Linked DNA regions of Rhinolophus ferrumequinum. The protein of the gene in region 2 interacts with the protein of the main gene of each other region in a biochemical or structural test. Links are inferred from orthologs where the notes say so. Each region holds a gene or a part of one and is shown on either strand. Other genes may lie near its edges.

Region 1 (7,560 bases), on a different chromosome or scaffold from region 2:
GTAGTTGCCATTATCTGAGATGGAGAAGATCAGGAATTCTGTCTAGGACCTTTTAAGTGTGAGGTGCTTGTTAAACACTGAAGTGTAGTTTTTGAAGATGTAGTTCAAACTCCCAAGACTGTAAATAATGCTGCAATGAACATCAAAGTACATACATCACTTTTTTTTTTTTTGAATTAGAAATAATGGAGACTATATGAAAAATTTCCATGTATTTACTTTTTAAAACTTTTTTTAAATTTTAAGACAATTTTATACTTAGAGAAAAATTGTAGAAGCCATGTAAAATACACCCCTATACTTTTTACTCAGTACACAACTTGTTAATATTTTCTTATTCTCTTTCTTTCTCACATATATATTTATGCACATATACATATATTTATATATTTACAATATATAATATATACACATGCTCACAAATGCATATATAATTTATTGTCTGTAATCCAACTCAATGATAAAATGGATGTATTATCATTAATCTTGTGAACAATGGAAACTTCCCTTTTTATTTATTTATTTATTATTATTATTTTTTTTACTTTTAACTTTATTTTATTTTATTTTTTTAATTTATTGGGGTGACAATTGTTAGTAAAATTACATAGATTTCAGGTGTGCAATTCTGTATCACATCATCTATAAATTACATTATGTGTTCACCATCCAGAGTCAGTTCTCCTTCCATCACCACATATTTGATCCCCCTTACCCTCATCTCCCACCCCCCAACCCCCTTACCCTCTGGTAACCACTAAATTACGTTCCCCAGATTAATTTTCAAACCCCGTGGCCATCTTGTGGTTACTGATTGTTTTCTAATCCCCTCACCTTCCCCTTTACCCCCACCCCCCCGCCCATCTAGCAACCCTCAGTTTTTCTTCTTTGTCTCCAAAACTGTTTCTGATTAGTTCATTCACTTATTCTTTTCTTTAGATTCCGCATATAAGTGAGATCATATGGTACTTATCTTTCTCTGTCTGACTTATTTCACTTAGCATAATGTTCTCTAGGTCCATCCATATTGTTGCAAATGGTAGATGATTGGATAAAGAAGATATGGTATATATACACAATGGAGTACTACTCTGCCATAAGAAAAGATGAAATAGTGCCATTTGCGACAACATGGATGGATCTTGAGATTATTATGCTAAGTGAAATAAGTCAGATAGAAATAGTCGAGAACCATATGACTTCACTCGTATGTGGGATATAAAACTGAAAGCAACAAAAGAACAAGATAAATAAAAACTCATAGACAGACAACAGTTTGGTGGATACCAGAAGGTAAGTGAGGGGAGAGGGGGATGATATAAGAGGGTAATGGGGCTCTTGGTGATGGAAGGAGAACTGACTCTGGGTGATGAGCACACAATGTGGTATATAGATGATGTATTATAGAATTGTACACTTGAAGCCTATGTAATTTTACTAACCATTGTCTCCCCAATAAATTAAAAAAAAATTTAAAAGGCAAAAAACCCCGAAAAAACTCCCAAGACTGGAGTTCAGGAGAGAGGTCTGGATTGAAAACATAAATTTGGGAGATACTGATGTATAAATGGGTTTGTAATATTTTTTCCAATTTAGCATCCTGTGTTGCCTTCTCCTTTCCTTACAGTATTTAGTTTCCCTAAAACTGACTCCTACATTAACAGCTCAGCACAATAAAATCCACATTCCTTATCATGATACCAAGATCCTGTATGATCTAGCTTCTTCCTACCTCTTGGACCTTATCTTGTACCACTTTTCTTCCACCATTCACTTAATTTCTAACACTCCGGCCTCCTGACTGTTCCTCAAAAAGCTCTTTCCTGCCTCTTGGACTTTTTGTGGAAAAGACCCTCCTACTTTTTAACTCTTACTTCATTCTTCAGAAAGGCCTTCCTTGACCCTTTGTGTCAATGAGGATTCTTTTGGGTGAAACTGATCCCAATTGGTTTATATAAGGAATCGACTGGTTTATGTAACTCAACAGTCCAGGGCCAGAGTGGTTTCAGGCGACTCCGGCTTCCCAGTTGCTTAGGCCTTGAAGTCTTGCTTGATTTCTCTCTCTTACAGCCAACATCCAACCCTTTGAAAAGCTGTTGACTCTACCTTCAAAATATATCCCAAATCCAATCATTTTTCATTGCCTCAACTGCTGCCACTGTGGTCTGAGTTTCCATCTCGCACCTGGACTGTTGCAGCAGCCTCCTCCATGGACCTCCTGCTTCTACATCATCTCTCCTTCTCCCCAGTCAGTTCTCCACACAGCAGCCAGGTGGATCCTTGTAAACCCTAGTCATTTCACATCCCTGCTCTGATGACAGCCTGGCTCCCATCCCACTTAGAGTAAAAGCCAGAGTCCTTACCGTGGCTTTGTAGGTTTTACACGATCTGTCTCCCTGCTTACCACTCTGACCTCACCTCCTACAATTCACCTTTGCTTATTCTCCAGCCACACTGGCCTCTCTGCTGTGCCTCAGACATGCCAGGTACACCTGCACCTCAGCACCTTTGCATTTGCTGCCTCTTGTGTCTGCAACACTTATCCTCCATATATCCAGATGATTCACTTCATTTTAAGTCTTTAATCAAACACTTCTCGGAATTGCAGCCCTCACTCCTGCACTCCTTATCCTCCCATTGTTTAATTGTTTCATTGTCCTTAGAACTATCTGACATACTATGTATTTTATTCCATCATTTGTCCCTCTTAATGAGAATTGGAGCTTCACAAGGCCGAGATTTTTGTTTGTTGTGTTTGCTGCTGTCTCCCCAGTACCTAAAACTGCCTGGCATAGAGTAGGGATTCAATAAACGTCTTTGAATGAGTGCAATCCATATGGTGGCCAGGCATCTCTGCATGGGAGCAGGTCAGGTAGTAGGATGTCCTGCCACAGGCCGTGTGGAAGTCATCCAGGATGTAGGTTGTTCTTGAAGTGATGAGGAAGCCTCATGATCATGGGGCCCACTTTGTACTTTCTTGTTTCTTTTCTCCAGGCTCAGCGACAGCCTCACGAAGGACTCCATGAATATCAAGGCCCATATCCATATGATGCTAGAGGTGAGAGCGACTCACCCCACTCCGAGACTCCACATGCTTTTAGGGTGGTGACCTGAGGAAGAGAGAGACAGAGACTGGAAGGTCCATCTGATCTCTGACCTGGAGCCAAGTTAGAAGCAAGCTGGCTCTGAGGGAGAGGTCAGAGCAAGCCTGGGGTGGGGCCTGGACCCACTCTCTGTTCTATCTCTTTTGTCCTCTTTTTCAGGGGCTTAGAGAACTACAGGGCCTGCAGAATTTCCCAGAGGACCCTCACCACTGACTTCTTCCCCCCTCTCCAGACATTAAAGAGCCTGAATGCCTTTGAGTCACATGGCCCTTCTTTTCCCCTTTAACCCCTGCTGTTTGCTGAGGTGCCTATTTCTGAACCACAAAATTGCTAGGAGGCCCAGAGATCCAGTCTCGGTGTGGAACCTTTAAAGTGCCCCTGAAGTCTCTCTGCCATCCTGTTACCTGGCAGCATTTGCTACTTGACTTACTGCTCTGCCAGCTCTTCTGTCTCCTTGGCAACCTGAGCCCCCACCTGACCTTTCTTTTCCTGGACACCACTCAATTACCATAGAGAATGGACCGATTCAGAGTGGAGTTTTGTTCCCAAGGTAATCAGCCTTTCACTTCTGGCCCTAAGGTTTACCCCTCTCCCACACCCCAGTCATTTCTCGGATACCTTAAATTACACCCACGGCCGTCTCGGCCCAAGTTGGCCTTGCTCCTGCTTCTATAAAGTTCCAGCTTCCACCAATGGGCGCAGAGCCGGATCCCACCCTCCCTGGTCCGGCCCCTATTCTAAGTTGAGACCAGCTTCCAGTCAATGCAGAGCCAAGTTCCGTCCCTGTATAGCTGACTGCTGCTCGACCCAGCCCTCTTTGGCATTTGGTTCCCGCCACTCAACGCTCCCTTGCGTGTCCGGCAGCTGTCGTCCCCTCCTACCTCTGCTCCGTTCTAAATTCCTTGGGCTTCTCCCTTCCTTTCGTCTTTTCTAGCCAATCATAGAGTTACCCTCCCTGCCTACGCATTGCCCAGGCCCGACCCCCCTCCCGGCTGGCTACTCCCACTTCTATACAAGTCCTGCTTCCGGGGACCAGCCTGGAGTGCAGCACCGCCCCGTTCGTGTTTTGGCAGCTGTCTAGGAGTCCTCATCTGCCAATCAGAAAGCACCGCTCACCTAACCCCTATTCCCAGAGGTGGTCTGTCTTCCATCAATCACATATAAGCCAATCAAAGCGAGGTAGGCGCCTCCAGAACCTTGTCAACTGCTCAGGGTCTATCAGTCTTCCTTGAGCCAATCAGAGTGTAGCACGGGCGGGGCCAAGCACGCCCCCTTGGGATCCTGGCGGCCATCTGCGTTCCATCAGTTCCTCTTGGGCCAATCACGGCATAGCTCTATGGGGTAGGGCCCGCCTCCCCAGCCCGAAGTCGAGCGGTCAATCCATGGCGTTTAGCCAATCAGCGAGCAGCGGAATGCTCGGCTCCTCCTCTACGGGCCCACGTGAGCGGTGGGGAAACGCAGGGGTGGCTGTTAGGTGTTGCCGCTGCCGTCACCGCCGCCACTGCCGCCGCCACCGCCGCCACCGCCGCCTCCGCCGCCTCGGAGCCCGGGCCTGGGGGGCGGTGGGGCCGCGCATGGAGCCCCCGCCCCCCGGAGCTGCCAACACCACTGCTGCGCTGCGCACAGGTGAGCCTTGGCCTGGAGGGTAGAGGGCCGGGTCAGTGACCCCACGTATCCTTCCCACCCTAGCGAGAGGGATGTGGCTTGGCCCGTGGCCTACTGTTGTTAGACTCCCCACCGCCGCCACCACGGCTGGTGGACCTGTCTGTAGCATTGTCCCTTCCCTATTGTACTGGATCTAACTGTGGCCTAACCCCCCTTCCTGTTTTATAGTGGATCGGTCTGCGTGCTTATATTTTTCCCCACCCTGCCTTATAGTGGACTCGTCCATGGTCTTGCCCCCACCCCCACTTATAGGGGACCAGTCTCTGGCATTGTCCAACTTCTTGACAGTAGGTCTTGTCTTAGTGTATTTCTCCTATCCTCAACTTTCAGGGACCCTGTCAGTGGCCTTCTTTGTCCCACCCCTCCTGTTCCTTATAGTGAATCAATCTGTAGCATTGTAAACCGCCCCCCCATACACCCCTCTTTGACAGTAAATTAATCTATGAATTTGTATTCTTCCCTCCTCCAATCCCCCAGTGTACCCGTTCATGGCTTTATCACACACACGCATATGCACACATCGTTTTCCAGTAGGTCAGTGTACATGCTTGTATTCACATCCCCCTAGCTTACCAGCCCATTGCCCTGTCCTCCCTTTTTTGTAGACTGACACTCCAGTCCTTGGGCTTCTCCCTTCCTTTTAATAGTGGATCAGTTTAGTACTTTGTCTCTCCCTATTTTCAGTAGCCTCTCCATGGTCTTGTCCCCCTCTCCTTTTAATTAGTCTGTGTGATGGTTTTTCCCCCTCTCCACTGTTGTGCAGGTGTCGATGTGCTTTTCTGCCCCCCTTGGCCCAGTAAATAAAATGAGCCTTTACACCACCACCACGACCACCCTGCCTTTGCAGTGACCTGTTCATTAGCCTTCCTGCAACTGGTGTCCTTGCATTTACACCCCCTCCCCTCCTGTGAGTCCAGTGCTTTGTGATCCCTCCTCCAGGAGGGTCGGCCTATGTACTTTTATTTCCCCCCTCCTTTCCTTGTGGTGAATCAGTCATGGGCTTCCCTGACCTCCTCCCTCCTTCTTAATAGTGGATCAGCTCATGTGCTTGTTGAAGCCAGGTCTTTTTGACTCTAGAACACATACCCTCATGCACACTGTTAACCATTAGGACATCCTGCCTCACTACAGTAAATGAATAATTAGAAATAGTGATAATGCTAATAGGACTAACATTTATTGAGTACCTACTATGGACCAGGCAGAGTGTTTTATATTAATGAGCTCATTTAATCTTCACCACAACCCTACGAGGTAGGTACTGAGGAAACGTCAGCATAGGGAGGTTAAATGCCTTACTCAAAGGAGACCCAGTGAGTACCAGGTTAGGGTGCCCCTCAGAACACAGGATAATTTTTGAGGCTCCCCTCTCTCACTTTATCCAATCCCATGTGAGGCCCCACTCCTTAAAAAACAAATTAGTTCCATCTCCAAGCTTTCTTTTTTCTATTTCCTCTGCCTGCAGAGCTGTCTCCATTGCATACCTTGTCTCAGCACCCATCCACCCCCAATCCCAGAAGCTCTGTGTCCTTAGTGATTTAACCACTTTCTCTCTGCACTTGTTTCCTCGTTTGTAAAATGGGAGGATCAGAGCTAGAATCCCCTCCAGTGTGTAAATAAAGAATACTTGTGAGTTAATAAAGTCACCTCTCTGGCCTTACCTCCTACACCCCAACTCTGTTTCATTCACACCGACCTCCTCACTTGTCCTCAAACACACTAGATGCGATCCAGCCCCAGGGTCTTCACATTGGCCGTTGTTTCTACCCAGAACACTCCCCAATCTCTGCATGGTCCCTTTCGGGGCTCTGTTCAAACATCAACGCGTCCCTAACCATCTGAACCTGCACACCTCGCAGGACTCAGGCCCCTTCTCTGCCATATTTGTCCCTTTGCCCTTTATCATTATCGGTTACACTGTATGAAGTTTATTGTGTTGTCTCTCCCCATTAGAATGGGAGTCTCATGAGGGCCTACAGTTTTTGTCTGCTTGGTCACTGGGAGGTCTCCAGCACCTAAAAATATACCTAGTATATAGTAGGTGCTCAATACGAGTTTATTGCGTGAACGAGTGGGGGAAAATATAATTTCAGACAAATCAGGGTGGGGGGAATGGATATGAAGCAGGCGCACGAGAGCTAGTTAAGAGGCTAGTTAGTTGGGACTGTTCATTCAACAAACATTGAGCACCTGCTGAGTACCAGGCACTCTTCTAGGTGCTGGGGATGTGAGAGGCAACAAAATAGGCAGAAATTCCTGCCCTTGTGGAACAGAGATTTGCTAAAAGTAGAGGAGACAGACTATATAAATAAGACAAATAAGTAAAATTAGATAGTATGTTAGACAAGAGCTAAGGAAGAAAAATGAAGTAGGGAAGGCAGGGATAGAATATTAAGTTGGTGGAAATGTTAAGTGCAGAGCAGGCCTCACTTAAAAGGTGACTCTTGAATTAAGGCCTGAAGGAGGTCAGGAAGGGAGCTATAATGTCTAGTGGAAGAGTCTACTAGGCAGAAGGAGCAGCTGGTGCAAAGGCCCTGAGGTGGGATTGTGCCTGGCCTGTTCAAGGCACACGAAGGAGGCCAGTGTGGCTGGACCAGAGTGGAAGGAGGTATGGGAGGTGAGATCTGAGAGGTATCGGGAGCCAGGTGGTACAGGTCACAGTGATATATAAGGTTGGGGGAAAGGGGCTTGGGAAGGGAAAAGGATGACACACTAGCTAATAGCTAATATTTCTTGAGTGTCTACCACGTGTCAGAAATACTTTTCTAAGTCCTTTGTATCTATTGACATT
Region 2 (7,262 bases):
AGTTTGCCCATCACTTCCAAGGCCCCAGCCTGGCTCTACAGCCTGTAGTCCTGAGGCCGGCTCTACCTCTGCCTCCCCCACCCCACCCCAACGCCCATGCAACAATGCAGGAGTTTCTCAGTAATTGTCCCCATCAGCTTAAGTGTGGCGTGGCCTTCTAAAACACACACCTGAAAAAGTCATGACTTGCATCCCCTACACATCTGTGGTCCTGGTAAGGGGTGGGGGAGGGGCTGGAGGACGCCATCACGAGCATACTGACCCCACTGTGCGCATGGTTCGCTGGTCTGTGCCCCACACTTGGCACTTCTCCCCTTGAGTCCTTGCAGCATCCCCATCGGGCTGGGACCACCACCCATGCCCACTCCCCACGGAGCTGAGGCTCAGAGAAGAGAATGCTGTGCTCAGAAAAGCACAACTAAGTCGAGAGCCCTGTTGGAACCCAGGCCAGTCAAGGGCAGACGATGAGATCGGAGCCATGGACACCTGTCAGCACTGTGCCCCCAGCCCAGCACTGCAACCCCTGGCACCCCCCACCCAGGAAGTGGCAGTAGAGCTCTTCCTTCCTCCTGTGTTCTCCCTGGTGAAGAGGCCACGTGTGGGAAGGGGAGGTGGGCAATGTCTGCCAGCTGTGCCACCAAGGAGCCAAGTCAAGGGCAGGGAAGGGAGGGGCAGTGAGGTCTCAGGAGTAGGGAAGAGGCAGTAGCCTGCATCCCAGAGGGCACCCAGCCAGGGCCACAGAGCTGAAGGCGACAGGAAGGGGGGAGGGGCGGGGCGTGGGCAGCTGGGATGTCGGCTCCAAAGGCCTTGCTCTAGGCAGGATGAGCAGGCCAAGCCCAGGTCCTCACTCGGAAAACCAAGCCAGGAAGCATGGCGTCCTCTCTGAGCCCTACCCCCTCCCCCTCCCATCCCACCTCTAACACTTGACAATTCCACCTCTTAAACGTTTTCTTTACATCAAGTTTATTTAATTTACATACATTGTCACCATTTTGTAGTGTACAGTTCTGAGTTTTGACAAACAATAGTCATGTGACCACCACCATAATTAAAATATAGACATACCCATCATCCCAGAAAACTCCCTTGGCTCCTGGTAGTCATTCCCCTCCCCCCACTTTACCTCTGACAACCCCTGATCTGATTTTGCTTTTTCCAGAATGTCATATAAATGGACTCATAGACAATTCACTTATGTTTGGCTGCTTTCACTTAGCATGTTGTTTTTGTTACTTATCCATATTGTGCTCTTGTCAGCAGGCCAGTCCTTCCTGTGGCCAGGTTTCGAGAAGCCACTGATGGCCGTACCACAGTTCAACCTCTCACTGGATTATGGACGTATGTGTTGTTTCCAGTTTTTGACTGTTTTGAATAAAGTTGCTATAAACATTCACATACAGCTCTTAGCGTGGACGTTTTTATTTTTCTCAGATACACACCTAGGAAAAGGGTAGCTGGGTCGTATGGTAGGTATATGTTTAATGTGATCAGAAACTGCCAAACTATTTTCCAAAGTGGATATGCAATTTTGCTTTCCCACCAGCAGTGTATGAGCATTCAGTTGATAATTGTCTTTATTATAGCCATCCTAGTGGGTGTGTGGTGGTAGTTTTTTGTGATTTTAATTTGCATTTCCCTAAAGTCTTGAAATAGTTTTAAGATCAGTTCCTTCCTCTTGACACCTACTGCCATGGCCCCAGGCTAGGCCTCATCTTCTCTCTTTCAAGGGCCTTTGTAAGAAATCCCTAATTGGTCTTGTGGCCTTGAGACCCTCATCCCTGAAATGTCATGTGCCCTAGTGATCTTTCCAAAATAAATATCTAATCACATTATTCACTTCCTTTCTTAACACCCTTCAACAGCTGCTCTTTACCTCTTCAGCCAGGGCTCCCACCCTGTGATGGCCCAAGGGCCAGCAGGGAAGGGATGAGTGAAGTCGCAGCCGGGGTGGATAGTAGGGAGTAGAGGGGACTGTGGTAAACGAGGGGCCTCGCCTAAAACGTAGTAGGTGCCACTCAGTTCCAGCTGATCACTGCCCTCTGGAAATGCAGGGCCCATTTTGCCAGAACTTCTAACTTTTTAAGCAAAACCAATAATTGAGATTTTTTAAGTGAAAGCTCCCAATTTTTAAATGTTGGCAACTAAGTCAACAACAACAAAAAACCAACCAAACAAACAAAAAAGCCTCTCTGGGCTAAACAAGGCATAATTGAGCTGAAGCCAGCTCAGGGGCCTCTAGTCAGCATTGCCCTCCACCTCAAGGCTCTCATAACTCTCCAGCCCCCACTCCCTGTCTCCAGCAAAACCAGGTGATGTGGTTCCCTGAACACAGCATGCAGGTCCTCACTTCTGAACCTTTGGGTCTGAATGCCCTTTCCACCTGAACCCCTGGCCCAGCACATTCCTGCGGCCTTCCCAGCTTCAGCTGGGGCTTGCTTCCTCCTGAGCAGGAGGCCTTCCTCAACTGCCTCTCCCACCTGGCAGGCTCCATCAGCCCTCAGTAAAGCTCTCACGTCCTAAAATTCTCATCACACTTGCCGCAGAATCTTCTCGCTTCTTGGCCTCAAAATTCTGCGCACTCTTTCAAGCATGGACCAACCGTCACTGCTCTGTTCACTGTATTTCACAAACCAGAAAAAAACAGAACCCTTTCAGAAAACTCAGTGTTAAATACGTACAGGTGTCTATGTATGTACAATGGTTTTTGGTATTCACTTTGCATGGGGTGAGTGCTGTAAACTCAGGGCTGGAGTGTCTAGGAATGAGTGTCCCACCTAATCTGAGGGGAAGCACCCAGAAGTGCTCCCAGGTAAAATCACAGCTGACAGCCAGACTTCATTAGTTTTCCATAAGCCTTGATGGTGAAAATTTTGCTTCCCTGTTTTCTGTTGTGCACCTGGGGCAGGTGGCAGGTGAGGCTGAGGGGTGGGAGGACCTTTGTGGACCCTCCTCAATACAGGTCACACTCAGGAGCTCCAATTTGAAGTCGATCAGGCCATACGCAATTTCAGAAAACTCCCTCTGGTGGCCAAGGAGGGGGGCCTAAGAGAGATAGCATGGCTGGATCCCCTGCTCTACCCCACCCCTCCTCTGAGGCTCTGGTGCCCCCAGCCTGCTCTGGGTCACAGGCTTGCCGCCCTCCCCAAATTCTGTCACCACCTTCCATACCCTCCTGTCTCCTGACCTCCCCATATGCAAGGTGCTGCTTCTTTCCCCATTTTGTCCACCACACTGGCCACCCTGTAGGCCCAGACATCCTGTGACAGCTACTCTCCAACAGTCCTCTCACCCCATCTAAGGACCTCTGCGCCCCACCCCCACCCCCAATGTGTCCGGCCTCCTGGCCTCATTTCCACCGTTGTTTATCTAAACGACCGGGCAACACCCAGTACCCTGGCCTCTCCCATCATTTCAGAGGATGCCAGGCCGTCTGGAACTCGACCCAGGGGCTGCAAGGCTGCGGGAGGTGCCTCAAAATATCAATGTCAACCGACCCCAGGCCCTAGGGGGCCCTCAGCACTGCACTCACTTCCCCCCATTTACGACCCTGCCCTCCTCTGAAACAGGCTTGACCTCTGACCAAGTGCACCGGCCTGTTCTCTCCTTCCCTCTGCCAATGACCGGCAGGGGACACTCGTCTGCACATGGCCATCTCCTCGGCATCCCACCCCCCAACCCCCGCTTCTGGCCGCATCCCTACAATCCGGTTCACAGCGAGTCCAAGGACCCACCTCTCCTCCCCACTCCCTCGCCGCCCCGCCTCCGCTTCCCGGGAGCCATCACACGCCCGGGTCCTGAGCACCGAGGCCCCTGGCTCTCCCCCTCCAGGCCGTTCCGTCCCCCTCCAGACCGCCTCGTCGCTGCTAGTTTGCACCTGCAGCCGCGAGGCCCGGCTCTCGGTCCCGCCGGTCCGCCGCCTCCCGGCTCCGCATCCAGCCACCGCGTTGCGAACCCCGTGGGGGACAGCACACTCAGTGGGAACGCCGGATCGTGTCTGCAATTCTAGACCCCCCGCGCACCGCCCGAACCACGGGAACCCGCACCGAGCCCTGGTCTCCGCCCGCCGGGCTCCACCCGACGCTCCGCAGCAACCCGCCCCTCGGCAGCGGCCCGCCCCCCGGTACCATTGGCCGCGCCGGCCCGCTTCTCGGCGCGATGATTGGTCAGCGTGCGGGTCGCTCAGGTGGGGCTCCGGCGGCGGCGGCAGCGGCGGCGGCGGTGGCGGTGGCGGTGGCGAAGGGAGCCGGACCGGAAGGGTCGAATCGCCCCGGCGCCCCTCACACCCACTGCGGCGGCGGCGGCGGCGGCGGCGGCGGGGTGGAGCGGGCGGGGTGGCCGGCTGAGCCCGGGGCAAGAGCCGCCAGCGCCGGCAGTCTGCCCGCTCGCTCCCTCCCCCGGCGCGGCGGCGGGAGGCGAGGTGAGCCCGGCGGCGGGCTAGGCCTGGCGGGGGCTGCTCGGGCCGCGCCCCGCCGGGAAGGGCGGCGGGAGGGTTTGCGGGGGGCGTGGGCGGTGTGGCCGGGGTCTGCGGCCGCTGGAGGCCCGTCTGCTGCCCCTGTCCCTCGGGCTACCGCAGTCTCCCCGCCCGCCGGCTGTCAGCAGCCCGGGGCTGCGGGCTCTTGCTGGCACGGCTCCTAGCGGCCCCCGGTGGGGTCTGTGGGCGCCACCTCTCCCGAATGTGCGGCACGCAGCTGCACACCCATGCCGGGATGCTCAGGAGCCGGGTCTGGTTCCTGCGACCTTGGCCATGGCACTGACGCTCGCTGTTCTCGGTTTTCCCCTCGGGAAAGTGGGGAAGTGCCTGCCCTTTGGGACAGGGTTGTTGTCAGGCTCTATGAATGTGTGGGAAAGCGCCTGGGCTGGAGCTCAGTGCACAAACCTGGAGAACTGGGCGGGGCACTGCCCCTTGCCGGTGTGAGTGTGGCAGGAACCCCTCACCGTCCTCCCAGAGTCCCCCATCTCCGTCCTCCTGTGCCTCGTCATTGCTCACTCGGTACCCAGCAAGACCAGAGTGGGTCCCACCCACCTCCCCTTCCAACCCCGACCAGAACACTGCTTTCCTATCCCAGCCACCTACCCTAAACATGCAGCCCCATTACCTTAGGACCTTTGCACTTGGTGTTTCCAGTGCTTGCAGTTGTCTCCAGGATCTGCACATCTGGCTCCTGGTTCTTCCTCTGGTCAGATGTCTCATTTAACAGGAGGCCTTCCTTGACCACCCTCTTTCATCCCTTAGTCATTTTATCTATCATTTTGTTCAGTAGCTCTGTGCGAACAGGTAGTTGTCTGATTTACCCACTGCTTTATCCTCAGTGCTTAGAAAGCACACAGTAAATACTCAGTAGTATCAGTTCAGTGGATGAATGAATGACCCTGCCTGCCTGTTACCTCTGCTTTATCTGTTCACTTAATGACTTCCGACTAACTTGTGAAACATGGAAGCAGATAGAAGCTTGTTCTCATTTTGTGAAACATTTTAATGTTCTTGACCCCTTTATTTGGTAACACTCAGAACACGCTATGATAGAAAAATCATACATTTTTATAATGTTTTAGCTCTAATTTCCTTCCACACATTCAGGAGGCATTTACTGAATTCTACATTATTTAGGTCAGGCTTTCTGCTCGGCCTTGGGGACACAAAGGCAATAGTGACAAGGTCCCTTCCTCTAGAGAGCCGGAGAATGCAGCCATGAAGGCAGACACGCAGACAGTGCCAGGACGGTGTGATGCCCACTGTAGTGGAGGGATTATGCCACGGAAATGTAGGGAATGTGACGGGTGATGCTGGCGTTGGGCCTTGAAGGGTGATGAGAAATTTGCCAGGCAAGGAGAGGCAAAGAACTGGAGAAGGGCAGGGAGAAGGAGGGAGCTTAGCGAGTGTGGGGTCAAGAATCAGCCCGTAGGGCCACCTGTAAGACATTGGGGGGCAGCAGGGGGGAACGGGACTCGAGAACCAGACCTCACCCAGTAATTTTTAAAAAGAAGCCTGAACTCTAAATTTGTAACTCTACTCTCCAGTTTTTTAACTGTTGGCAGTAGCTAATTTAGCCTTTTTTTTTTTTTTTAATTCTGTGAGCCAAGCAAAAAACATTTCATTAAGCTTGGTTGCAGGATTATCAACTTCTAGGGCAAGTTACTGAGGCGGGAAGAGCTGTAATGAGCTAGAAAGGTAGCCTGAGGCCAAGGGAGCTAGTTTGTCCAGGTACTCTCATTTACTTGTCACTGGAGCCCTGTAAGTGGCAGCTATGAAACCCATTTCTACAGAGGAAATGGGGACTCACAGAATCTCAGTAGTCTGCTTTACTGCAGGTTACTGGGAGGTGAAATTTGAACCCAGGTCTCCCCCAGATCATCATTCTTTCCTGGGTCCCTCAGCTGTGAGTATTCTTTGGCTTTTAAGTTGTTCTGGAAGAACAACATCCAATCTAGGTGTTTTCCTTCATTTAACTCTTTATTTTTTCCTTCATAAGGATCCTTCCTGGTTAACAATAATCCTATTTTGGCATAGGATTATTGAAGGATCAAAGGTTCTCTTCTATGGAGAACTTTGATTTTCCTGAGGATTTAATTTTCAGGATACCAGGACTTTACATAATTTGTTGGTAGATTACAATTTGTACTTGGCCTTTTGTGATTGTGTGAACTAATTTCAACACCAGCCTTTCTTTCAGCAATTTATTATGAGGACCTTCAAACATATATACCAAAAAAAACCACAAAAAACAAAAAACAAAAAAACAGAATAGTGTCAAAAATTATCAACTCCTGGTCAATCTTATTTCATCCCTAATCTCATCTACTTACACCCTCACCCTCCATATTATTTTCAAGCAAATTCTATATAGGTCATTTCATCTGTGAATTTTTCAGTATATGTCTGTAAAAGATAGGGACTCTTTTAAACTTGGAAAAGCAAAAATTAATATAACCAAATAACCAGTCAATATTCAAATTTCCCATTGTCCCATACATTTTAGAGTTTCTGTAATAGTTTGTTTATTGGAATCAGGATCCAAAATAAGGTCTATACATTGTGATTGGTTGATAGGTCTTTTAAATGTCTTTTAATCTGTAGATTCCCCCTCTTTTTCTGTTTTTGTTTTCCTTGTATTTTATTTGTTGAAGCGATTGGGTTGTTCTGTAGCATTTCTGTTGTTGGATTTTCCTGATTACATCTATGCAATGTCATTTAATGTGTTTCTCTGTGTTTCCTGAAAATTCATAGTTGGATCTAGACAAGGCTTGGTCAGACTCAAGGTGCC
Region 3 (6,420 bases), on a different chromosome or scaffold from region 2:
AGCGCGGCCCGCCCACCGTGGACGCTCTGGACTCAGGCCTGGGGCTTTCCGGGCCCAAGCAGCCACCCGCCTGGGAAAATCCCGGCCTCCTTCCGGGCGCCGCGGCCTTGCCGGGCAGAGCGGGGGAGGGGATTCCCGGAATCTGCCCGGAGACCGCCGTCGCGTCACTGGGCAGAATCGGCCCATATATGGGCAGCGCTTCCGCTGCGTCAGCGGGGAAAGCCCCGGCCCGAGCCAGTGGACGGGGCTGCGCCTGCGCACTGCACATCTCGCCCCAGGCATCCTGCTCCCAGGTCCTGGGAGGCTGGGCCCGGTCCGCGCCCTGGACTTTCCAGCCCCCGGGATCAGGGTACGCGAGGAGGGTTGGACACCCGGGCTGGAGCTGCGAAATGCCTGGGCAGAGCTGGCGAAGGGACACAAATACCGGAGCGAGCCACAAACAGCAGTGGGGTGTGGGCAGCTCAACACTCTCCTCCCTCCGCCCGCCCGGCTTCGAAAAAAAAGACAACAGAAATTAATAAAGAACCTTTTTTTTTTTACTTAAATAGATTCAATAAAAAGTCAGAACAAACGCACACACACACACACAAACACATTTTAAAATAAACTTTTTAGAGACTGAGTGCGTGTTTCTTCTCCACAGTACGGTGCAGGGGGGGAGGGCAGGGGGCGGGGCCCCTCCCTTGAGTCCTCGCAGCCTTGAGTACCGGGCGGCGGGGCCAGCTCCGCCGCGATCGCCCCCTCCTCCCCACCCTGTTAAATACACAAATATATTATATTCAATATGAATCGAGTCTGTTTCCAGCAGAAAAAAAAATACAAAAAAACGCGGAAGGGGGGCTTGTAAACGTCGAGGTGGAAGGACTGGGCGCAGAGCCGGCGGGCAGGAGTCCAGTGTGGTTTTCGCCGCCCCCATACCCCGGGGCAAGTGCCCACCGCCTGCCCCCTTGCCCCTTGGGAGGCGTGCGCCCAGCCGTCCAGGCTGGGGGAATGTCCGTACGGGGAAGGGGTGCTCAGAAGGCGTGTCCCTTGACCCCGAGCAGCAGCTGGCAGCCGTTGCTGACATGGGTCATGACCTTCTGTTTGAGCTGAGCCACCTGCTCCCGGAGGAGGCCGGCAGTGCTGGAGAGCCCTGCGTTCTCCGCCTTGAGTGTCTTCACCTTGTCCTCTAGGCGCGCGATGCGCTCCAGCTTCCGCTTCCGGCACTTGGTGGCCGCCAGCCGGTTCCGCAGCCGCTTGCGCTCCACTTTGATGCGCTCCTGGTCTTCCATGTTGATGGGGGACACTGGCGGCGTGGCGTCGCGGCTGCGCGCCTCAGGCACGGTCTGAGGTTCCTCTTTGAAGGTGGAGGCGCCTCGGCCAAGGCCCAGCTGTGCCGGGTGGCCGCCAGCGAAGGGCGGCGCGTGTGGGAGGTAGCTGATGGTGGCCGTCGGGTATGAGCTCCCGGTCCCGACGGCGGCCCCGGCGCCTCCGGAGGGCGCAGAGGCTGGGGAATAGCTGCTGAGGTTGGTGTAGACAGGAGGCGGCTCCGGGCCCGCGTAGACACCCCCAGGCCCCGCCGGGGGGCCCCCGCTGGCGCCCAGCGACACATTGGGGGGTGTCACGTGGTTCATCTTGTGCAGGTCGTCCAGGGCTTTGACAAAGCCGTCGGCGAAGCCCTCCTGTTCCTCGGTGACGCCGCCCCCCGCTCCCCCCGCACCTCCACCGCTGCCACCCCCTCGGGGGTAAAAGTACTGTCCCGGGGGCGTGGGCGTCGTCGTGATCACGCCGTTGCTGTTAGGGACGATCAGGCGCTCTAGCTCCGATGAGGCGAGCTTGAGCGACGCGCCTGTGTCCGAGCCCTGGCCGGAAAAGTAGCTGCCACCACCGCTGCCCTCTGGGCCGGGGCCCCGCGCCCCAGGCGCTTTCAGACTTCGGTAGGGGTCGGCAAGGTTGAGCGCCAGGCTGGGTTTCAGGAGTTTGTAGTCGTGTAGAGAGAGGCCGCCCGGGGCCCGGCCGTATCCCGCCGCTGCGTATGAGTCGTCGTGGTAGAAGGGCTGTTCCATTTTAGTGCACATCCGGGCGGCCCGGGCGGTCTGGGGGGGTCCCTGCGGGGCCGCCCCGGGCCTCGCTGCTGCGAGCGGTGCTCTGTCCGCGGCGGTGGCTGGACTGACTGTCTGGACGCGCGGCCCTGGGTGCCGGCACCCGCCGGGAGAGGCCACCCGGCCGCCTTGCGCGGAAGCTCTGTGCGGCTTCTCCAGCCCCTCTGCCCCTCTCTGGCGCGCTCGCTTTCTCCGTGTCGCTTACCCCTGCTCCCCGTTCCCTGCTGCTCAGACGCTGGTCTGCCGCGCTCAAGGTACCGGCCGCTCAGCCAGAGCCACACGCTTTTATACCACGACTATCAGCTGCGGAAGTGAGCTCCGATTGGCCGTCGCGCGAGCCGGGCCCCCGCGCCCCCCTCCTCGAGCGTGGGGAAGGGGAGGAGGCGGCTCGCGTCACTGTCAGGAAGCGCGTGTCCTTGTAAACAGCGGCCACGGGCTGGGTGGCTTGGCTATGCTGTAGGGGGAGGGGCTCAGGGGACCCCGGGACGCGCGAGGAAGGGGGTGCTGGGGCGGTCCGAGGCACCCGAGGAGGGGCTCCAGGGTGGATGATGATACCCCTGAAGTACGCGATGAGGGACATGAGGAACTGATACAGAGCAAGTGTGTGTGTGTGTGTTTGGGGAGGGGGGGTGTCCCAGGTTGTACATAGAAGGACCTGAAGGACCCGGAGTATCCAAAAGGAGTTGGAAAGCTGAGAATACGCTAGGAGACCCCATAAAAGAGAGACGGAAGGGTTAAGCAGGGGAAGGGGTAAAGAGAGGCCTGACACAGGAATTGTGTGGGGGTCCCAAGTACCAGGGGTTGAGGGACTGGGATTTTCATGGGAGCGACTGAATCCAGGAAAATTGGGGAGGAGGAGAAATGAAAAGGGTACACTGGGAGAGGCTTGAGGACCCATTATGCAAGAAATGAGTAGGGGTCCTGGAGTCCATGGGAGAGACAGAGGGTCCCCCACAAATGGGAAGGGGGGACACTAGGGGAATCTAGATATGCAGAAAGTGAGTGAGGGTCCTGGGGTACACTGACTCAGAGAAAATATGTGGGGTAGAAAAGGGGGTCACTGGAGACATCTGCAAAGCCCTGATGAAGTAGAATTAGGGTCAGAGCACACTTTCAGAGCTGAGATGCCAATGACAGAGGGTCCCCGGTTGAGACATGAGGAAAGGCGGGGTCTTTGAGGATCCTGGGGACTTGGGCTGCTGGATCTTCCATGATTGGAGCCCCCTCTTTTGGGTGACCTTCCTGCTGAGGTCTTTGTATACTCTGTCCCCATCCCAAAGCCTTTCCCCAGTGACCGTGGGCTTGACCGACACCGAGTCGGCTCCTGGTGCTTGGACCCAGCCCGCCGGCCTGGGCGCGGTCACCCAACCCCACTCCTTCCTTAGAAAAGGCCTGGGAAGAGCTTCGCGGCAGGAAATGTGGCAACAGCCCTGGGGAACGGAGCCCAGCCCGGCCTCCGTCACTCGGATCCTACTGGACCGTGCGCCCCGCCCTGGGTCCGGCGGGGTTCTGCGCCTCGGATGAGGAACCTGGGAGCGCGACCACTGCTGAGGCCTGGGTGCGCCGAACACGCCCAGCTGCAGAGGCCTCCAGTCACTGTTCCCCCCGCCCAGCAATGTGGTTCAGCCCGTGGCGCCCGCAATCTCGGAGGCAGACAGTTCGGGGACTATTCCATTGGCCCGACAGAGGGGGACGCACCCAAGAGCGGGCCTGGTCGCTATGGCAACAGGCCAGAGTCCGTGCGCTGGCTGGGGGCGGGGCGATCCCCGGGAGTCTCTCCCTGACGCCCATATAAGGGCACAGGAAGGGGTGGGGCCAGCGCTGTCCCGGGGACCCGAGCCAGGAGCCGGGAGCCCTGGTATCTGCCAGGTCCCAGGGCGCGCCGGGGCCCCCGGACGGCTAGTCCCGACCAGCCTCGGCCGCCGCCTCCGGGCCCCCACGGCCGCCTGGCCCAGCCCCACCCAGTCGCTCTGGGGCGGCGTCCTGCTAGGCCTGGCCCGACCCAGCCCGGCAGGTCCCCGCCTGTCCGCGGGCCTGGGTCGGACTTCGCCCCCGGCCCGACGGGGCGCGGAGAAGGCGGGTCAGTGCCTCCAGGCGCCCCCGGCGCCTGGGCGGGCTGGCAAGGCTTGCCTCCTCCCTCGGGCGGGTACCTTCCTTTTTGCCAGATGTGGGACTCCTCCCCACAAACACCCTTAGGGGCTGGGATGCCCCCTCCTTCACTCATGTGAGCAAGCGCCCCTACTCTTGTTTTGTTTGGGGGTTCCGTCAACCATCCAGAATACCTGGGAGGGGTTCCCTTCCTCCACAGGATATCTCTTTTATCTGAGGGCTCCCCTTCCCTCCAGTCAGAAGAGACCTGAGAATCCAAGGGAAGAATCTGGGGAAACCCAGAGCCCCTTCCCCAGTTAAGGACTGAGTGGGTGTTTAGATGGTGAGGTTTCTAGTTAGACTTAAGGTGGGACTTCCAAGCAGTTAGGATGTGAGCCACTAGAACAAGAGGTGAGAAGCTCAGTCTCTCTCTCTCTCTGAGAGGCCTGTATCTTCTGGAATGATGGAAGTTTCTTTAGGGTAGAGGCTGAGGATGGAGCTAGCCAGTTTTTGTACAACAGGCACAGAGCTCACCAATGGTGGGGGAGAGAAGGAAAACGAAAGAGGTGAAAGAGAAACTGAGCTGTGTGGGGGTAGGGGGAAGTCCAGTAGAGCAGTGGTGCTTGGGAGGAAGGTCCCATGAGAAGCTGGGGGTGTCCCTTGTCTTTGGTCTTTGGAGGTCCTTGTGACCCCTGGTTGCCCCCTTCCCTCCTCCCCTTGTTTGAACTGCTCCCCTACCCCGCCCCAGGCTCAAGGGAGATTCCGGCGGCCCGCTGAGTCTGGCCGGCAGGCTGCCAAGGCCTATGTCTCCCGCCCATGCTAATAACTGCAGCTGACATCTGGCCTGGGCCCTGCGGGGGTGCAGTAGGCAAGGTTGGGGGGCTGGGCAGGTCTGGCCAGAGGGCAGCATCTCACGAAGCCAACCTGCAGGTCTCACAGGCCAGGAGGCCACAGTGAGTCAGCCCTGGCCAGTGCTGAGGCAGGCCAGGCCAGGGGAGTCTTGGAAAGAGGTGAGGCCAGCCCAGAGAGGATCCAGATGGAGGGCAAGGACTCAGCAAGGAAAAGTGGGTGTATGAAGGCAGGGGTCAGGGCAGGGAGAGATGGCCAGAGAGACAAACCCGGGGCAAGGTTAACGTCATGCAGACAGACAGCAAGATTCAGACACTTAAGATAGGCAGACAGACTGAGAAATAGTAATTATTATTTTAATAGCTAACACTTACATGGCTCTTATCATGGGCCAGGCACTCTTCTAAGTGGTTTACGTAGAATAACTCATTGCCTGCTTCCAACCACCCAGAGAAATGCATGCTATGTACCCCCATTTAACAGACAAGAAAACTGAGGCACAGGAAGGTAAAGAACTTGCCTGATGGCCCACAGCTATAAGTGCTGGAGTCGAGATATAACCCTAGCTGTCTGGATCCAGAGCATTAGCCACTACACTGTGAATAATCACAAGCAGAGAGGCTTTTATGCAGTACCAACTGGATGCCAAGCTCTGTAGACCCTTTCATGAAGGGTCTCCTTTAATCTGGAGAGCAATGGAGTTGGGCACAGGATGGAGAGATGCTGGTGGGTGGGGAGACAGCCCAGCATGTTGGAGTGGGGTCGGGTGGCTCCATGTACTCTGCATGGGTGTTTGAACAGGGGGTGGGGATCAGGCCAGCGAGGGAGGGCGGGGGCCCAGCTGAGCTGGTACAGCCGGTTCCAGGCCCCTGCCAGTCTCACCCTTGTGGCCTGGGCACCACCCCCTCACGCCGCCCCACTGGCGCCAAGGGCCCTGTGAAGAGGGTGTGAGGATAGCCCCCTCCCCCGCCTGGCCTGGGTGCCCAGATTGTCAGCTGGGGACTGCCCAGCCCCTGGGCTCCAGACCAGCATCTGTAGGAGGACTCTGTGCCCAGGCTTCCCCCACATCCAGGGGCCCAGGGCATGGGGTGGGGGGACAGGATAAGGGGGAAGTTCACCCACCCCCACCCACGGGTCTCTCTGGGGCTTTTGGTCCTGACATGAGGGACTTCTCCTTCTTATAAATAGCCTGGTGACCCCCCTCCCCCGGCCCCACTGACCAGTGGAGCCCTCACCAGGAAACTGGGCTGGGGGCTGTGTGTGAGTCAGCTGGTGGGCAGGACAGGGCGAGAACCCACAAGTCACAGCACCCAACATCCCGCGTCCCTGCCCCTGGGTGTGGACAGGCAGCTGGGCAGGAAGAGGCTGAGAATCAGAGAGGCCCTCCCCCAGGAACCCTTGG
Region 4 (7,612 bases), on a different chromosome or scaffold from region 2:
TGGTGGCACTCAAGCCTGCATCTGGGGACTCCAGGGCTTCGGCCCTCTCCCTGGACCCCAGTATCTCTAGCTACCATCACTCCTATGCAATGAGCCATCCCAGGACATAGAAGCCACCCCAGGATCAGAACATACTTGCAATCTCTTGCTGCGGTTTTTACGGGCAAAAGTAGAGGACAGGGTTGTTTGCTCTGCTCAAGCCTTTCAAAAAAAATCTGCAGGTTCTGTCTGCTCACAAGGCTGCTGGCAGCTCAGGTTACCCAGCTCTGACTAAGCCTTCCAGAGCACAGTGGCCGGGACACAGGAGCTACTCTGCAACACGAACATGCCTATAGCTTGTGACGTGCCTGCCAGCTCCTGTGTTATCAGATACATATCTGTGATCTCAATTCAGTGCACACTGGTCCTTTCCACAAAACTAAACATGCATGTCTGCTGGGTTTCATGAACGAGCTAGCGTGCCAAAATGGTGACAGGATGTGGCCCTTTTCTTTAATTATAACATCACTTGAGGTCTTTCCACGGGTGGACATCTAATCACATCTAATCAGAGCCTCGTTGCTGGCTGGCCAAGCATTTGTTTGCTTCATGGAAGCTCTGTGGAGCTGCTCCTAATAGCTCAGGCGACGGTGGGTCTCAGCCTCAGAGGAAGTCTCCTCCAAACCACACGCACCCCGGCACCCCTGCCCCCAGCTCAGTCCAGGGGAGTGTAGGTGGGAGGCCAGACGTACACTCGCTTGTGGCTGCACTTGAACTGCACAGAGCAGAGCAGAGACCGCATCCATGCAGAGCTAATTCTTAAGCTACAAGGTTACAATTCTTAGCCTCAAGAGTGTCCATCTTGGTTTTTCCCTTCTAGTTCCTTCTCATCCACTGTGTACAGACCACATAAGTGCAGATGAAAGAAAACAAACCTACTTGAAACCCCAGGCATCAAATGGCTACCGAAAGTGGTCAGAGAAGTGGAGGGCACTGCCCAACTAGGCAGGCAGCCATAGCCCCATGGGTGGGCGAGGGGAGCCCCAGCCTCCAGTCCTCTGGGGGTGCAGCTCTCTGACCTTCCACAGCAGCATGACACGGAAGGAAGAGCCGAGGCCAGAAGTCAGGGTAGACTGGGTCGTTACCTGGCTCTGCTGGCACGTGGGACCTTGGTCCAGGCCGCCCACCACATTCACGGAGCCAGTTCCTTCCCCAGTAAATGTCTAGGACCACACTGAACTCAAAAATCCTACGAGCTCTTGCATCCCCTTGAGAGCTTTAATTCAGTTTTGTTGGAGCTTGGCACCCCAATCAATAGACAACAGCTTCTTGACAGACACATAAAACCCAAAAGCAAAACAAATCACTCTAAGTAGGAATAATACAAGACCTTGTTAATCTTCATAAACATGCTTTAAACTGGGCTTAAGGCATAAACCACTCTGGTTCAGGAAAAAGGCGAAATACTGAAACAATCTTGGACTTCAGTGCTGAAGTCAAGAATGCATTCAGCCAAACTAACTGCAAAGGAATTTAGCTCATTTAATAAGAAACTTCCTATTCATAAATCAAAGAGCATCACCTAATGCCTGGAATAACAGAATGTCAGAGCTTAGAGAAAATCTAGAGCAAGTGACTCATTCAACTGATGGGAAATCAAAATGCAGAGCGGGCAGAAGACGTGGGCAAGGTCACAGAGGCAAAGCAGGGATGGGAACCCACGTCCCCTGAGTCCCCTTGGGTCTGGCACAGATTTAGTCAGCGCTAAGTATCTGATGATCAACGAACTTAAGTGGTATTCCCTACAATGCACAGTTCCTCTAACGGATTCACAAATAAGTGACTTCCAGGTTATAGAGATATCCTAGAACACAAATATTTCAAAATTCGACTTCCAGCTCCTCAGAAGCCAGACTGGAATTTCTCACCTTTTCCACAGAGAGCTAACAATCTCCCTTCCCAACTGAGGGAACTACAGGGCAAAGAAATCACCTCCAGAAACCTGGAGTCTTTCACCTGGTGCCAGCGGAGCAGCCGAACTAACTGTGGCTTTCGTTATGTGTTTACGCCAATTATCAAGTTGACCCATGTCACACACCTTCAAAACCTTGGAGTGGGGACAAGGAAGAGATCTCCTGACAACAGACCCTCTTCCCGCTGCAGAACCGTAAGATCAGAAATCCCTTTTCGGGGAGGGTTTAGAAATGCAGTAACCAGAGAGAGTAATTGGGGTCTAGGAAACTGGTTTGCAAAATATACACAAACGCAAAAAGAACTGGCGCCTGGAGTGAGAGGTGGGTATCGGAGAGGAGACCGAGGCCTGGCCAGAGGCTCGGGACTTTTTTAGGCTGCCAGTTCTCTGGGTGGCGCCTGGGGGTTCAGGGCTCCGGGCTCCGAGCCCCGGGCTGGAGCACCAGGCGAGGACGGAAAGGGGAGCCGGGCTCCGGGGATTTGGGGGCCGGGCGGGGCGGGGTTCCCGGGCGGGGCCGAGGGCGGGGCGGGGGGGCCCGGGCGGCGCGGGGCGGGGAGTCCGCGGTCCCCGGGCGGGTCCCCGCGCGGGTCCCCGCGCGGCCGGCCCACGCACCTCCTCGGCCTGCTTGCGCAGCGCCTTCTCGCGCTCGTACTGGGTGAGCAGCTGCTCGTTGTCCTCGCGCAGCAGCTCCAGCTCCACCTCATGCTCCTGGTTCTCGCTGAGCACCGAGTCCAGGTTCTCCAGCACGTTGACCACGAGCGGCATGAGCTCCTTGACCACCTCCTCATCGTAGCAGTGGATGAGGCGCTCGAACTCGCGGTAGATGGAGCCGGCCAGGCCCGACACTCGCTCCGACATCACCGAGCCGGAGCAGTAGTCGTCCTGATACACCACCACGCCGCCGCCCTCGTCCATCTGGATCTCCATCATCGCGGCCACCGCCGCCGCCAGCGCGGCTCGCTGTCTGCCGGCGCGTCCGCCCCGGCTGCCCGTCGCCCGCGGCCCGTGGCCTCCGCTGCAGCCGCTGTCGCCTCAGGGCTCAGCCGCCGCCGTTGCTGCTGGTCCTGATGCTGCGCCCGTCACTCAGCGGCCGGAAGTCCCGCCCGCCGGCCAGAGGGGGTGGTGCCCGCCGGTCTCGCCGCGGCCTCGCAGCGCCGCGCCACTAGGGGTCGCAGGGGCCGTGACGTACGAGGAAGGTGGTCTCTGGGCCGGAAGCTCGGCCGAGCCGGGCAGGGTGCACTTCCGGTCAGGCTTGTCCGCGCTGCGAGCCGCTAGCGCCTGTCGCCTTAATCGCGTTCCCCTGCAGCTCCCAGACGCCGGCTCACTTTCAAAGTGACTTAGCATCTGTCCCAAGAGCATCTATAGACGGTTGCGTGCGGTTTAAAGACTTAAACGAGCATCCGTGCACCCATCCTCCCTTACTGAGAAACGGACATTCTTTCTGTGCACCCCTCGAGGTGGTGATGGTGCTGACCTGGTTGATTTCCCTTCAGTTTTACTACACAGTAGTGCACCCTCCACACAGGGAGCACTCCAGCTCTTCAAACAGTGGCTCTACGATTCACTGTCCCTCCAGGGGTTCCTGTCACGTGCAAGCTGTCCGTCTCATCCTAAAATCCAGGAACAAGCTTTCACTTAGTCCGCTTCGATGTCCTGCGTTCTGTGTCACTTCCCTCGATTTCCCAGTTTCACTTCAGCTGTGTGTTAGCTGTTTACCTCATCCACTGAGTTTTAAATTTCAACGGTTGTATGTTACATTTCTATTTGTCCTATTTGATTTTCTGAAAGCATGAACCCAAGACTTCAACTTTCAGCTTGGAGGCCACACTGGTAGTGTGAAATTCTAATTTTTTTTAAAAAAAAGCCCATTAGTGACAGCTTCACGCTAACAGAAATGCTCTCACCCCTGCCTTTCACCTAACAAAATGCTTCGAGGTCAGTTCATCCTAAGATCCTCTCATCCTACTCTGATTGCACCCAGTCAGTGAACTTGCCCTAAACGCTAGCACACACGTTTTCCCCTTACAGCCTAATTTGCTCACCCTAATTTGCTAACTAAAAGGTAAAGTGAAGTTTCAGTCTGATTCAGACTGCCTGGGTTTTGATCCTAGCTACTAAGTACATTAATGATCCTAAATTTCCATTTCCAAACCGTAAAACTGAGCCTAAAAACATTACCAACTTACTCTGAATGTTATAAACTAATCCATGAAAGGGGCTTAGAAACGTCTCTTGCAAACGGGAAGCACGTGATAAATGTTATGTAGAATTGTTCAATATCCTCAAAATGAGCCAGGACAAACAGGTGAAATGTTTTCTTGCTGGTGAGCAAGTTACAGAGAAAGTTTGAGAATGTTTTGAGGAATGTTTAAAGACTTCAGCCTTCGGCCTTTTTCAGCAATTTGACCTCTGGCAGCTGCCAGTACCCCAATGAGAAGCCAACTGAGTTGGCCATCAACTTTATGTTTTTATTACTAACGTGGTTAGACTGATTTGTTCCTTGCGATTGGTTAAATCAAAATGAAGTTTTAAGATGATATGCTGGATAATTGTTGATGCTTACTGTCGTGGCACGGAATTAACCCCTGGTCGTTCGCAAAAGGTGAAAGCAGTCCCAGACTCTACAAAGGAAGTTTTTATTAAAGTTAGTGCAGAGAGAATGCCCATGGCAGTGTCCAAAGATGACAGCTGCCTTGGAAGGAAAGAAACACGGGAGTGGGAGTCGCCGCGACAGAGTCCAGAGTCTTAGAGTAGATAGCTATACCAACCTCAGGTTAGCTTTTTCTATATAGGAAAGGGGGAGTCTGGTAGGTTTTAGGGCTGACATCCTTCCTGGGGCCTAGTCTGTTTGAAGACGATGTTATCTCCGGACTCTGGACTCGAACTCGGCCACTGAGGCCTGACACTTTAATGCGTAACCAGTAAAAACTGCAAGAAGTTGTAAATAGGATTCCAGCGTCCGGGCGCCTGAGGATTAAGAAATTGCTCTTTCCCGGATTAGGATATTCATTTACGAGGTAGGGTAGTCTTCAGCAAGGGAACAGAGTTCTTCAGTTAATCAGTGAGGGGAGAAATGAAAACATGAGTATCGGGATAGCTCAAACTGCAAACTAAGTCTAATTACAGGTGGCTAGATAGCAAGCTATGCAGTGAGTTAAACTACAAACCAGCTAAGTCTAACTGCGTTATTGATTCCCTGAATTTCGCCCTTATACTTACTTTAGAATGCAACTAGAACACTCCCGAGAATTGAAACTAACTGAATTAGAACTTACTTCTTAATAGGCTTCCTTTTAGATTTGTAAAGATAATTTGGAATACAACTTTGTTTTTCTCACTACAAGACTCTAAAATGTAAGATGGGCACACAGGTTTGAAAAGTTCTACTTTGATTTCTAAGCATCTGCCTCTAATCCCTGCTAAAGTCACTGAGGTCCCTGTAATGTCCCTCACTTCTTCCTAATGTTTAATTTTAGATAGCACTTTTTAGTCACACATGAAAGAGGAATATTTCATTCTTAATCTCTAAGAATGCTTCAAGATTAAGAACGTAGTGCGTTCAGAAGAAATGAACTGGGTAACACAGGAGGTATACACACCCTTAAAGGTTTGATTGCCAAAGATAATAGAACAAGCTATGCCCTGTCAAAAGAGCCAGTGTTATTTCTGAACAAGGCACAGGACTTGAAGTGGCAATCACTGATGTGCTTCACCCCCACCCCCACCACAACACAGATGGAACTACCTTAGTCCTTTCAGACTTAGCCATTGCCTCACCTCTGGAGACAAACAGCTTGTGACACTACCTCAGTGCTAACCTGCAGCTGGAGTGGCTGCTACAAATAGGTAATGTAATGCTGCCAGAGCCTAATCCAGTTCTTGGAACAAGCTCTGCACTCCCGAAACATGTTTTCAGATGAACAAATGGAGACTGTGTTGGGAACCTCATGTTGGGTTTCTTTCTGAAGTGCTGTCCTGGTAGTCGGCCCCGATTCAGCAGGCAGAATAGTGGAGCCTCTTATAGGGGAACTCTCCAGGTGGGAAGCCTGAGGTTTCAGCCTCCTGAACCCACATCATATGTACATTATGTTTGCTTGTAGGGCATAGGAAAATAACTGTAAGAAGGAAAGATGTTCAATCTGCTTTCTCTGCAGGGCTTGAACCTACAAGCAAATGCTAATAGCTCAGCACCTCATCTATTTATTACAAGGCTTGTCACTGGAGCATTTCAAAGCCAACTCAGAGGCAAGTTCAATACTTTCAGTTCTTTAAGGGAAAAAGTGGTGGAAGAGAAAAAAAATCTTTAACTTATAGAAACTGTAAAGAACACTTGCATATTCCCGCTCATTCTACTCAAAGCTAAGTCTTTGGTTTTCAAATGAAAAAAATCTAAGTCTATAGTCTTTGAGATTAATTTGGGCATCCTCTGGCTAAATGGGGGAAGAAAAAAAAGGCAAACCCCTTCATCAATGAAGGAGCAGAGGTCAGGCACTCTGGAGAATAGATGTTGAGGAAAGCGCAGGTACACACACACTAGGCAAAGATGCTGAGTACCTGATTGCTAAGTTTTATTCAACTGTTATACCCAATTCCACCTTGTAAAAGTAACAAAGTCTTCCTATCAAAATTACATTGTGAGGTGAGTACAGCTTTCTTGTTGTTTTTGATACAGCCCTAGAAAAAAAGTTGGCACCAAATGCACATAAAAAGTTTTTCAGGCTTAATAAAAATACAGACTGGTAATTTCTCAATGCGGCTTAGAGGTTGGGAGCAGGATGCTAAAAGTTAACAAATCTTCCAAATACAGGTGACCACCCCTACCGGGGCTCATGTGAGCACAAACTTGTCTTCTGCCTCTCACGGTGACCAGACCACCCAGGCACTCTAAACGCACTGCTGCAGCCCCAGGAAGGAAAAGGGGGGGAAGATGGGGAGAAACAGAAGGCAGGGAATTGTCACTGCTGCCCAGAGGCTCTTCCTATAGCGCGTTTCCCTCACTCCACCAGGCCTCTCTTCCCATCGCTGCATTCCCCCATCTCCACCCCAGAAATCGCTGCCAGTGGACACAACTAGAGTCTCTCATTCCGCCGACAGTGAGGGTCGGGGTGAAACCCCAAGGGCCAGCACCAGTGTCAGGATTCTTTCTGGCAACCCAATTTGGAATCCACAAATCACTCTCTTGTATTAAAAAATAAGAGTTATAAATTGCAGTTCATTTCCACCATTGGAACATTTCATTATAAGTTAAACTAGTGTGTTTGCGCTTAAAAGCTCACTGCCATTTATGACATTTTGAAATGGGGGAACAAATACTCCGAATTCCAAACAATATTCTTATAAACGACCATTTGAAGGATGGAGACAGGAAGTACTTGACAAAGTCACATGGAGTGAGTGTTTCTTGGCTCCAAAGACAGCAGGGCAACTGAAAGGAGGGAAGACTCTTTGGTTGACAAAGCCACATGCGGATGCCCTCAAGAAGTGGGGCTGTAAGAAGTGGGGCTTGGCAGGCGGCTCGTGCAGGCACTTAAGTGTGTCGCCCGGCCACTGTGAATGTAACTGAACAGTTGTTGCTTTTCTCAATTTTAATAACGACGAAGACAGTTCTAGCACCTGGCATTATTAGCTCTGTAGGCACTTTTAACAGCCACCACCACACGA

The links.
Region 1: of the proteins of MAPK9 (region 2) and ELK1, one has a biochemical effect on the other in vitro, tested with the Homo sapiens proteins (2 studies listed by BioGRID). The link is inferred for Rhinolophus ferrumequinum from reciprocal best matches to the Homo sapiens genes MAPK9 and ELK1.
Region 3: the proteins of MAPK9 (region 2) and JUNB form a complex in vitro, tested with the Homo sapiens proteins (2 studies listed by BioGRID). The link is inferred for Rhinolophus ferrumequinum from reciprocal best matches to the Homo sapiens genes MAPK9 and JUNB.
Region 4: the proteins of MAPK9 (region 2) and MAPK8IP3 form a complex in vitro, tested with the Homo sapiens proteins (2 studies listed by BioGRID). The link is inferred for Rhinolophus ferrumequinum from reciprocal best matches to the Homo sapiens genes MAPK9 and MAPK8IP3.

What each region holds. Positions count from the first base shown.
Region 1 is NC_046284.1:86,334,046-86,341,605, forward strand, and holds the start of ELK1 (ETS domain-containing protein Elk-1), read left to right. Parts: upstream 1-4,547; 5' UTR 4,548-4,649; intron 4,650-4,692; exon of another isoform or gene 4,693-4,693; 5' UTR 4,694-4,730; intron 4,731-7,560. Other genes in the region: protein UXT, read left to right, coding at 2,995-3,058, 3,264-3,317. UniProt on the Homo sapiens protein: Transcription factor that binds to purine-rich DNA sequences. Forms a ternary complex with SRF and the ETS and SRF motifs of the serum response element (SRE) on the promoter region of immediate early genes such as FOS and IER2.
Region 2 is NC_046307.1:3,355,569-3,362,830, reverse strand, and holds the start of MAPK9 (mitogen-activated protein kinase 9), read left to right. Parts: upstream 1-4,257; 5' UTR 4,258-4,417; intron 4,418-7,262. UniProt on the Homo sapiens protein: Serine/threonine-protein kinase involved in various processes such as cell proliferation, differentiation, migration, transformation and programmed cell death.
Region 3 is NC_046301.1:48,779,446-48,785,865, forward strand, and holds JUNB (transcription factor JunB), read right to left. Parts: upstream 2,353-6,420; 5' UTR 2,058-2,352; coding exon 1,014-2,057; 3' UTR 519-1,013; downstream 1-518. UniProt on the Homo sapiens protein: Transcription factor involved in regulating gene activity following the primary growth factor response. Binds to the DNA sequence 5'-TGA[GC]TCA-3'.
Region 4 is NW_022680357.1:3,490,144-3,497,755, reverse strand, and holds the start of MAPK8IP3 (C-Jun-amino-terminal kinase-interacting protein 3), read right to left. Parts: upstream 3,010-7,612; 5' UTR 2,882-3,009; coding exon 2,564-2,881; intron 1-2,563.